Linked DNA regions of Cricetulus griseus. The protein of the gene in region 2 interacts with the protein of the main gene of each other region in a pairwise test. Links are inferred from orthologs where the notes say so. Each region holds a gene or a part of one and is shown on either strand. Other genes may lie near its edges.

What was found.
Region 1: the proteins of Rab11b (region 2) and Rab11fip2 interact in binary tests that used the Homo sapiens proteins (3 or more experiments, as listed by UniProt). The link is inferred for Cricetulus griseus from reciprocal best matches to the Homo sapiens genes RAB11B and RAB11FIP2.
Region 3: the proteins of Rab11b (region 2) and Myo5b interact in binary tests that used the Homo sapiens proteins (3 or more experiments, as listed by UniProt). The link is inferred for Cricetulus griseus from reciprocal best matches to the Homo sapiens genes RAB11B and MYO5B.

What each region holds. Positions count from the first base shown.
Region 1 is NC_048596.1:1,380,620-1,384,119, reverse strand, and holds part of Rab11fip2 (rab11 family-interacting protein 2), read right to left. Parts: intron 3,073-3,500; coding exon 2,604-3,072; intron 1-2,603. UniProt on the Homo sapiens protein: A Rab11 effector binding preferentially phosphatidylinositol 3,4,5-trisphosphate (PtdInsP3) and phosphatidic acid (PA) and acting in the regulation of the transport of vesicles from the endosomal recycling compartment (ERC) to the plasma membrane.
Region 2 is NC_048598.1:95,215,531-95,219,591, reverse strand, and holds the start of Rab11b (ras-related protein Rab-11B), read right to left. Parts: upstream 2,801-4,061; 5' UTR 2,682-2,800; coding exon 2,642-2,681; intron 1-2,641. UniProt on the Homo sapiens protein: The small GTPases Rab are key regulators of intracellular membrane trafficking, from the formation of transport vesicles to their fusion with membranes.
Region 3 is NC_048595.1:165,196,904-165,200,403, forward strand, and holds part of Myo5b (unconventional myosin-Vb), read right to left. Parts: intron 2,742-3,500; coding exon 2,633-2,741; intron 736-2,632; coding exon 524-735; intron 1-523. UniProt on the Homo sapiens protein: May be involved in vesicular trafficking via its association with the CART complex. The CART complex is necessary for efficient transferrin receptor recycling but not for EGFR degradation.

The DNA.
Region 1 (3,500 bases), on a different chromosome or scaffold from region 2:
GTGCTCCTGAAATCCTAGGCGTGCCAGTTCACACACCAGTTTGATCACAATGTGTTGTGCTTTAAATTGACTCAGTTGTCTCAAAACCATGGGTCACAAAAGTCCAGGAGGTCTCTAAGTAAGTTTTACTTAGCATACTGGAAAAATAATTCACAATACATGATCTGTGTAGCCTCAAAAGCCCTGGTCTGGATGCTGCTTGAGAGATGATACTGGAGGAGAGGAATTCTAGACACTCTGCTGGCAACAGCCTCTCAAATTCCACCCACGCTAAAACTGCTGGCTGGAAACTTGGAACTGCAGCCTTTTTATTCAGTCCATTTCTATGCAACTGTTTTGCACTTTAACTAGATCCACCCATTAACTACAAATGTTTTAATTTACCGGAAGGATGACTGTGACACAGAAAGAGAAACTTCCAGGAATATGTGTTCTGTCCTCATATCTATAGCCTCAGAAACACAAAGAAAAATGTCTTAACTTTTTAATCTACTCTTTATATACTTGTAATCATAGAATTTATAACACAGGCCTAATTTTGATAAAAGTAGTGCTAATATTAAAGTAAAACATAATGAATCTGAAACCTACGAAGACCATGTTCTCTATTAAAGCCCATGGAAGCCCAAGGCATTGACAACTTGAGGACACTTATTTTTTCATATGATAACATAATTTTAAAACATTTTTCCAACTAGTTCCCTTTTTCTTGCTTTTCACTGTAAAATTACCTAGATTAGCCAATTTCTAAGTTATCTTGAATAATTGTATTCAACAATCTCCTGCAAAAAAGAAAAAAATGTTCAGAAAGGGGGTGGGGCATACTATTTATGCCTATGTTTAGGATTTGTTGAAATATTAATACATCAACTATCAGCATGTTAGAACTTCACATCAACACTGTGAACTCTTCAATGGACCACTGATAGCACAAAATAAAAATTTGTTTCTCTGAAATATAGTCTATACACATACAGAATGAATTTTTTTCTAAAACCACAGCAAATCCCCATCTAATAATTAAAGAAAACAAACTAACAAAAAATGAGCATGCCCCTCTGGCAATTTTAAGTGCAAGATTTTTTTTCTAACCTAGCATAGAAGATACACACACACACACACACACACACACACACACACACACACACACACACGAAGAGAGAGAGAGAGAGAGAGAGAGAGAGAGAGAGACAGAGACAGAGACAGAGACAGAGACAGAGACAGAGAGGAGGGAGTGAGTGGAGGGAGGGAGAGAGAGGCCCAAGTGCAAGGCCTACCCAAGTGGCTGCTGATGCTCCATCTTCTGTTTGTAGTGGGACAGAACAAAAAGCACTAATCTTAAAGAAAACAATACAGGATAATACATCAATCAAGACAGAGGTTATCTTTTCCTTACTGAAAACTCCTGGGACCCAACATGCTTTAGAGTTTGATTTGGGGAAGATTTCAGAATATATGCATAACTTTATATATAAAAAGCCAAAATTCAAAATGTTTCAAATCTGAAACTCCAGTGAGTTCCATCCATGATGAAAGCATTAACGCTGGTGCCATATTTCTATATAAAAGTGGGTCAGGTTTCAAATCAAGGATGCTCACCCTGAAGCAGTGACCATCTATCGGTCCCCTATTTGGTGCCTGGCTTTGTACTATGTACTCTATGCATTATTTACCCTCACTAAATCCTACAAAGTATTTTCTTTACCTCAAAAGATGTAGATGCTAAGATCTACAGAGGTCATAGCACTACAAAGCAAGGACTCCCGCTCAGGTCTATGTTCTGGACACTACAGCTGGAGGAAAAGCAGCCTTTGTGTGGCAAACACTGCCTCCACTGTGTTCTTCCACAATTACTTAAAAGTTTCAAGGTCATCTTCATCTTTGTTTTCGGTCCCTTCATCAGGCCCTCCGTCACTCACATCTGCAGAACCCCTGACTTTCAGATGCCATGGAGTAAGAAGCAGTACACGTGGAAGGACCCAGAGCTTTAAATCTCCCATCTTCTTCAGCTGATTACACCTATGGACACTTGTCATCCCAGGGCTCTGGTTAGTGTGTTCACAGTGCCCGCAAGGGTCACCAGACTCCAGAAAACACTCATGAATAAAAGAAATTTCTGAGCAGCCATTTCATAAGGAGAGTTAACATCGGTTATGACAACGTCAACACTCCAGCCGGCATTTGTAAAGAACAGTGTGTGACTGCTATTGGTTCACTAAAGCCCTCCAGCCACCCCATGACTTAATCTTGGGGAAGTACCTAGAAACACACTTCTGGATTGAATTTGTAACCATGGTTTATTCACTCTCACTGGGTCTCATCAGAAGCCATGTGGTTTTCTACAAGACCTATCTATAGTGGCTTCTAGGCTTCCCTAGGTAGGTACAGACTAGGGTTAAAAGGAAGACGACTTTGTTCTTCCAAGGCAAAACATTCAATTCCAAGGATATATGCAAGCAACAATGTTTAGGTCTGTAATGAATTCTTAGAAAAGAATTATGTAAAAAATGAATATAAAATATTCATGCATCTAAAAGAAATATTTGTTACTTTCAAGTACAAGGTTCCCCAAGTGGCGCACACACTCCTCCTTGTGAGCTTACCTTGAAGATGGCATTATAGTTGAAGCCCTGAATTTTGCTGTAAACGGATTGGTTGACTCGTAATCAAAATAGTCCTGCCGATTTTCATTAAACGCACTAGGTGATTTCAAGTCACAGGGGCTATCAGATCCCCCATTGTTAAGCTTCTCCGATCTTCTGCTGTCTTTCTTCCCGGTCACTCGTTCAAAAAGGCTCACTTTCTCTTTTTTCTCTCTCTTATTTTCTTTCCTTACTTCAATTGGTTTTGAAAATAAATGCATGCTGTTGTCCCACGACTCACTGCTTTCTTCAAATGGATTTCTCTTCCTTGGCAGTGTTGCAGATTTTTGGGGTAATGAAGCAGTCACATTCATAAACGGGTCACTCTGTCTTCCAAAAGAGCGTTCGCCTTCATCCACAATGCTGCCAGGCGGGTTCAGTTTGGAAGTGTCAAAGCTTAGTGTTCTTCTGTGTGGAGACTTGAGACTTCCTACAAACATTTTCCCCCATTAGTAGGTGATGGGTGACATAACGCTATTATACTATTTTTGTTGCTTCAGAATGAGAACAATTAGCTAAAGATATTAACCCTCAAAACAATCTTAAAATTAGGTAAGGGATATTGTGAAGCACATAGTGCACTGTGAGACAACTGGGTGTCTTAGTGGCTTAGAAACCATCACATGAGGAAAGTATAAGGTAAACCCAAAAGACCTGCTGTCAACTATCATGTTGGCAAGTCTTAGACTTTCCTCTGGATATAGATGTTCTCCCTAGGAACAGTTAGATGGGATGGAATATATGCTGCAGATTTTCTTGTTTTATTTTTTTGTGTGTGTGTGTACAACTGTGCCACCACCTGCCTTGCTTTTTGAATGTGGGTTTTGGGGATTGAACTCAGGTCCTCCAGCTTTCAAG
Region 2 (4,061 bases):
ACACATTCAATGCCAAGCTATTTATAACAGCAAAAGGTCGAAAACAAGCAAGGAATGACCACAGATGCTCAATGTGTTGACTTGAAGGGAAAAGATTCCCTGTCCTGCCTGAAGCTTCCTCAGGGTAGGTTGTGTGGGGACAGGTCCTTGCCATTTTAGGGCCTGAGTCTGTTCCACCCATCACCAGAAAGCCCTTCAAATATTTGGTCTCCAAAAATCCTTCCAAATCATCCTCTGCCTCTAGAGTGATACCTGGAGCCTACACCTGCTAATCACTTACATCTGGACACAGCCCACTACCAGGCCATGGTGCTATGTGGTTAACTCTGCATCTTTGCAGACCTCTGTCTCTGCCTAGGAACCTTTTGTCACATGGCTATCCCTACTACCTCCACAAACCCAAGATGCCAAGGCTGGCTTTAAGCACCAGGACACACTCCCAGAAGGGCAACTGTGTGTCCCTTTAGTGCTCAGAAATTAGCTCAAAAGCAGCCACTGTCTGGTGGGGAGCCTAGCATAAACAGCACAGGACCAAAAAGCCCGCCTGGCATAGAAGGTGTCATCATGCCAGAGACCCCTAAATATGTTCATCAGAGAAATGAGGGACCCCAGTGACATGGGGGGTGAGGTAATATAGTATGTTTTATTAAAGCTTGCCTGAGGATTCAGAAAGCAAGTAAGCCTCAAGCTACCGAGATCAGGCAGTGGTGGTACACACCTTTTATCCCAGGACTCAGGAGACAAAGGCAGATGGATCTCCCTGAGTTCAAGGCCATCCAGGGCTACACGAGATTGAATCAGTCTAAAAGAGTAACAGAGCCAACACCTTTAATCCCAGGACTCATGAAAGGTTATTTAGACAGGAACAGGGTCTCAGAGCTGGCATTCATTCTCCAGCCACACTGAGGATAGGAAGACATTGGAGTCTAAAGATTCTCTAGCCTCTCGGAAGAGAGCAGAACAGTCTGGGATTTCAGTATGAGGTTTGGTGGAGCCAGGATTGCCTTTCAGCCTGAGCTATAAGAAAGAACTAATAGCCAGCTGCTTTGCTTTTCTGATCTTCAGCTTAAAGTTTGAACCCCAATATCAGTCTCTGGGTCTTTTATTGATCATGCTACAGGTAGGAAACTCTTCCAGTGGGTTGGATGTGTATGTGTTGAGGGGAGGTCTGACACCTGTTTGTTCCAGATCTAAGCTGCAAAACTTGCCCCAAAGCTCATACCCTAAGTGGCAAAAACTCCCTAAACTGTCCAGAGCTCAATCCTGCTCCTCCCTCAGGAACTTGTCTCTCTGAACTTCAGTTTCCTTCTTGTTTTGAGGACAGGATATGGCTATGTAACTGATGTTATCTTTAAAAATTTTTGTTGAGATAGGGTCTCACTTGGCATTCCACCACACCTAGAACTCTCTATGTAGACCAGGCTTGCCTGCCTTGAATTTCACAGAACTGTGTGTTTCAGCTCCCTCCTGAGTACTGGAACTTAAGGCAAGTGCCACCACAGTTGGCCAAATCACATTATTTATTCTGTGTGCTGTATGTGCGTGGGCTCATGTGACATGGACAGAGGACAACTTGCAGACTCTGTTCTACCATGTAGGCCCCAAGACTGAATTCACGTTATCAGGCTTGGCAGCACACACAAATACCTGTTGACCTATCTCATCACCCCCAGGTTGACTTTGAAATAGAAAAAGATCCTCCTGACTCCAACTCTGAGTAATGGGATTTCAGGTGTGCACCACTTACAAGCATGTTTCTTGGATAATATGGACTGTATAAACTGATAAAGAGGATTAAAAGGAGTCATTAATGTAAAGTCTCAGAACAGTGTATGTACTGGCCCAATGTCATCCACGTGTTTTTTTTTTTTCCTTTGAGTTCCAGTAATCCAGGCTGGCCTCTGCACTTCTGATCTTCCTACGTCTGCCTCCCAAGCGCAGACCACCCAACGCCTGCACCATCACACAAGGTTTATACGGTGCTGGCGATAAAGCCCGGGGCTTTGTGCCTGCTACTGCTAGGCAAGCTCTCTCTCTACCAACTGAACTACATCTCCATCATTTACTCAGAGTTTGAACTACCGCTGCACACACAGGCACCATCCCACCCAATTCCAAGGCACCACAATTTAGGGCTCCTGCACCACGTGACCCAGGCCCCACCCCCCCCAAAGGCAGGCCCCGCCCCTACCAGTCCAGGCCCAGCCCTAGAAGTCTCACACCAATCAGGCTTCCTGGGCACGCCCACAATGTTCTTCAACTGCCCTAACCCCATCTATAACCCCCCGCTGTCAACGCTTTCAACGCAGCCCGCCAGCCAAACCCAGGGAAGCCCCGCCCCTCATGGAGCCCCGCCCCAACGGCCTCGCCTTCCACTCCGGGCCCCACCCTCTCCAGGGCCCGGCCCCGCCCCGGTGCATCCGGGGTCCACAGGCCTCTCTAAGCCTCCCTCTTCTCACTGCTGCGGACTAGGGCCCGAAGCCTAGTGAGCTCGGCCTGCCGTGGCTTCCTCCGACTCTCTACCCGGGATAGGGCCCCGCTGAAGCCTGGGGCTCCACCCTGGACCCTCTCGCCCCGTACTGCGGCCTCGACCCTCCCGTCGCTACCGCGCCCTTGCCCGCCTGTACTCCACCGGGCGCACCTTTGAATAAGTAGTCGTACTCATCGTCCCGGGTCCCCATTGTCCTGGCGCTTCCGGCGGGATCGGCGACTCCGCAGCCCCACCACAAACACCCGACGGGGGCGGAACCGGCGCCGCGCAGAGCGGCGGTCCGACGACCAGTCAACGGCGAAAGCGGTAGTGACAGGCACCCGAGCAAGCCAATCAGACTTAGGAGCCGAGCTCAGGTGGGTGGGAGCCTCTTGGGATCCACCCTTCTAGCCCTCGGTCTCATGGAGAAAGGCGGAAGGAATGCGGACCTTTCCGAAGTGACAGGCTCAGGAGCCTATCAGAAGCAGAGGGGGGAAAGGCGGGGCGGAAGACTGGAACAATGAAGTGGATTGACAGAGGGCGTAACCAATGAGGGCCTGCATTCAGAATCGGCTTTCCCCGGACCTGTCGGGGAAGGGAAATTGAGCTCCCTCCAGGTGATGTTAAGGACTTTAACGTCCTAATGACATCATAGGTCAGTGCGTCTGCCCTGGCTTCTTACCCTAGCCCCATAAACGACCATTTCCGGGTGTGTGTGTGTGTGTATGACGACTGCGGGAACCTTCTCTGGGTGGTAGTCCCCCAATTCTTTGTTTAAACCTAAAGCTTATGTCAGTACCTCCCAAACAAATAGGGATCCTAGACTTCTTTATTTGCTCCTTTTCTCAACAAATTAAGTCTTCTGTTTTCTGCTTTTCATCAGTACTCACTTTTTTTTTTTTTTCTTTTTTAAAGACAGGTTCTCACTAAGTAAACCTGGTTGTACAGGAATTAGTGATGTGAATCAGACCACACCTGTCTGGTTTTCTTTTTTTGAGACAAGGCCTAATGTTACTCTGGCTGCCTTTAAATTTGCTATGTTATTTATGGATTACTTTGAACATTTTTTTCCCCTGCCTTATTTGGAGCACAAGGTCTCGACTGTGTAGCTTCAGCTTGTCTGGAACTTGCTGTGTAGAACTCAAGAGATCCACCTACCTCTGCCACACACAAATGTACTGGGATTAAAAGACATTTGCCACCACATCCTGACTTTGAATTTGTGATCCTCTTATACACTGGTAACTTAGAAGTTACCTCTCTGATCTCATTTTCTTTCTCTGCTCATGTGTTCCTGAGATTATGTGGATTGTTTCCTTAAACACATACACAATTAACAGTCTGCTTTGTGCCATGAAGTCTTTGTTTAACAAATATTCAGAGGCTGGGCAGAATACTAAGGGAAAGGAATGCAGCTTAATTGTATTTATTTTACATCTATGTATGTATGTATGTTTTGTTTGCATGTTGTGCACTCTGTGCATGCAGTTCCCCGTAGAGGCCAGCCCTGAGACTGAAGATACAGACAGTTGTGATCTGCCATGTGGGTGCTGGGAATCAAACCTGAATCCTGTGTAACAACAGCCAGTGA
Region 3 (3,500 bases), on a different chromosome or scaffold from region 2:
ATTAGCCCAGGGCCACTCTTTAGGAAGAGAATGTTGACAGTAGTTCCCCCTGCATGGTAGTGCATAGGGAAGAGAATCTGGTTGGTGACCTGGTAGCTGCTGTGGCTGGATGAGGCATGTCTTCTCTACACTGTCTCAGTGCAGGAGCAATTCACAGAAGGGCTTCCCCAGACCTTCCAGCTCCATACAACATCCCAGGGGAATGAAGTTACAATGCAAATTAACTGGATTCATCTCTCTTACTAAAAGACACTGGTTTTACTTTGGGGTTCAGGCAAAGGAGAAATGGTTGATTTTCAAGCAAATCAGATGGTACTAGGTTAATATTGGTGGGCTGGGGATACATTGGGTATCAGGAGACACATGACTAGATCTGATCCCTGAAGCAAGGGCATCACAGGGATGCACACAGGAACCAGGAGCAATTAAAGAAGCAGATTGGGCCCAAGAGGAAGCACTGCAATTCCAGACAAAGAGGCCCTCGCCTTTGTCCTGACTCCAGGTGCACCCCCGAATGGCTTACCTGCGGGCCAGGTGTCCTCTGTAGAACCTCTGCAGGGTTAAAGTAGCTGCCTTCAGTCTCCGATACTTCACCTTCTGCAGCCAGCCTCTGACAGTCTTCTGGATCATGACAGTGGCCTCCCGGAACTTGTCTGCCCGAAGCTTCTCCAGGTAAGCTACCTGGCCCGCCCGGAAGAAGATCTTGGTGCGGCCAAACTGGAACTTGTCTGGATCCTTTACAAGGTTGGGAGGGAGACTGGCTAGTTAGTGAATTCTGCAAAACACACTAGCCTTTCCTGCCAAGGCTTACCTACTTGCCAGATTGCGTGTGTACCCCCTGCCCCAGTAGACACACCTAGATTCTCAGTATTCATTAAACAGACTTGAATCTTCAAGGTAAGACAGACATGGATCCAGGATGTGGCCATTGAAAAGATACCTGCCCTCAAAAATCCAACATCATGGGGAGGGCAGATGGGAAAGTAAACAGAAGAGACTTTTTTTTTTTTTTTTGAGACAGGGTTTCTCTGTGTAGCTTTGGAGCCTATCCTGGTGCTCGTTCTGGAGACCAGGGTGGCCTCAAATTCACAGAGATCCGCCTGCCTCTGCCTCCCGAGTGCTGGGATTAAAGGCGTGTGCCACCAAGACCAGAAGAGTAGGGATTAGCAAGAAACAAAACAGGCAATGTTCAAAAGGGATGGTCCAGGCCAGTGGTTCTCAACCTTCCTGATGCTGTAACCCTCTAATAAGTTACTCATGTTGTGGTGATCACCAACCATAAAATTATTTTCACTACTAATTCATAACTGTAACTTTGCTATTGTTATGGGTTATATTGTAAATATCTGATATGCAGAATATTTGATATGTGACTCCCCCCAAAAAGGATTTAGGCTCCACAGTTTGAGAACCACTGATCTAGGCAGTTTTGTCTGTGGAGGTGAGCAAAGATCTGTGTGAGCCAAAGCAGGCAGCCATGGAAGGCAACCTGTGGCTCAGCCAAAGTCCTACTTAGTGGAAATGTTGTATCTGGAAGACATGGCCCAAGGAATGAGGGAAATGAGGAAGAAATGTAATGTCTTCCGGGGAAGTCTTGAAGCACAAGTAGTGGTATATCTCCTGGACAGACAACTGTGCACAGTGGCCCTAACCAGTCACCCCAGATCAGTAGGAACTGTGCATTTGAATGTCTGTGAAATCCTAAACAATTTACAGTCACTTCTTATACTTCTGTTTCCTCATCTGTGGATGGAAAGTTCTACTAATAACCTTGGAGGAATCCAGGTAAGGGTGAACTATGACTCAGGACAAAGTGGAAGGCAGTCACATGGTCATGGAATCTACTCACAGGCTTGGGGTATACACCAGGAGACCAGCCCTGGCAAGAAGAAGGGACGTGTTATATATTAACTGAACTCAGCTGACCTTGAACACATTTTTCTAACTGATGAAAAATGAGATGTCAAAACATGTACAGTGGTGATGGATGGACCACAGCAACACCATCAACCAGAGTCCATCAACCAAGCACAAGCTACAGTTAACCACACCACCACCCTCTCAGCACTGTCTTAGCTATCTAGCTTGCAAAAACATGTTTAATATAATTATCACGTTCTGAAAGATGCTTTCTATAGTTTAGCACCTTATGGAGACAGATTATTATACTTTGTTATAACCCTGGAACTCTCTAGAACTATTGAAATATTTAAGGATTTGACCCTCGAGGCTCCGCTCTTATAAGTTTTCAGCCTCAATGTGATATTTTTGGGTTGTTTCATTTAAAACAAGTTTTCAAAGGCCTGATAATCTGTTGTTTTATTTATAACAAGCTGATGCTAGCTACAGATCAGACATCCACTGGGTACAATGGCCCTGAGAAGCCAGAGATGCTGAGATAGCAACAGTAGCAGCGGCTGCCACCATCAGGGGTTGCCTCCACACACACCCTAGTGACCTGTGCTCTCTCTGTGTGTGAGGTACAGGAAGGCAGAGCGCTCTAGGTAGGGGAGGGGACTCCCATTTCCCAGCCACTGTTGCAGGAAATGGCTTGATATCTTAAGTAGGTTTTCAGGATAAAGATAAAGCTGTAGGTAGGCGTTTGGTCCATGCCTTCCTCTAGCTGTATCACCTTGATGAGGCTCTCTAGGACAGATTTGCAGATACTCTTCTTGTCAGTGTTGGCAAGCTCTCTCTTCATCAACACGCGATACCGAATGAAGAAGTCATGGTAGGTCCACCTGGAGGCAAAAAGATGGTGAATCAGAAGGTGACCTCAGATGCTATCTCATGGAGTTGTGGCTGTTGTATAAGTTATTGTAGTAGCTTCAGACCAGTCCCAGTGGAGCTTTGTCCTTTCCATACCCTACTAGAAACTCCAGTGTATCAGGATTCCGAAGTTGGGTTGGGGAAATTGTGTGTTTGGAGGTACCTCTCATGGAGCCAGGGCCTCCGTCTGTTCACACCTATCTATTCTCTCATCTGTTGCCACCACTGAAGAATTTGGGCACCTTATGTAGACACAGCTTTGTCTATGTAGTTTGTTTTTCACCTTTGAGAACTCATACTGATCTTTGTAAACACATTTCTAAATGCAGGAAGTGTTTGAGAATGAACATGTCCCCATCACCATCTCTTATATCACTACTCTTAATTTGGAAGAGAAGAATAGGTCATCCTAGACATTTTTCCACTCCAGACTCCTTTTCACCTGATAAATTTTTACTGATCCCAAGGACATTGGTGTGTAAAATAGGTATACAAACCAAACATGTACTGAGAACAAATCAAAGAAATATGATGTGCCCATGGTTACAGTAGTGGCAGGAAAGTTAATGGGGCTAAATAACTACTTTCTGATTGGGTTTAAGGACTGGTCTACTAAAGGAAACACATGCTCAGTACTGGAATCTGGCCAAAATGTAAGGTTAGGGAGCTCATGGACTCCAGAGTGAACCCACTATTGTTAGTCTGTTAAATGGACATAGTATTATGCTGTT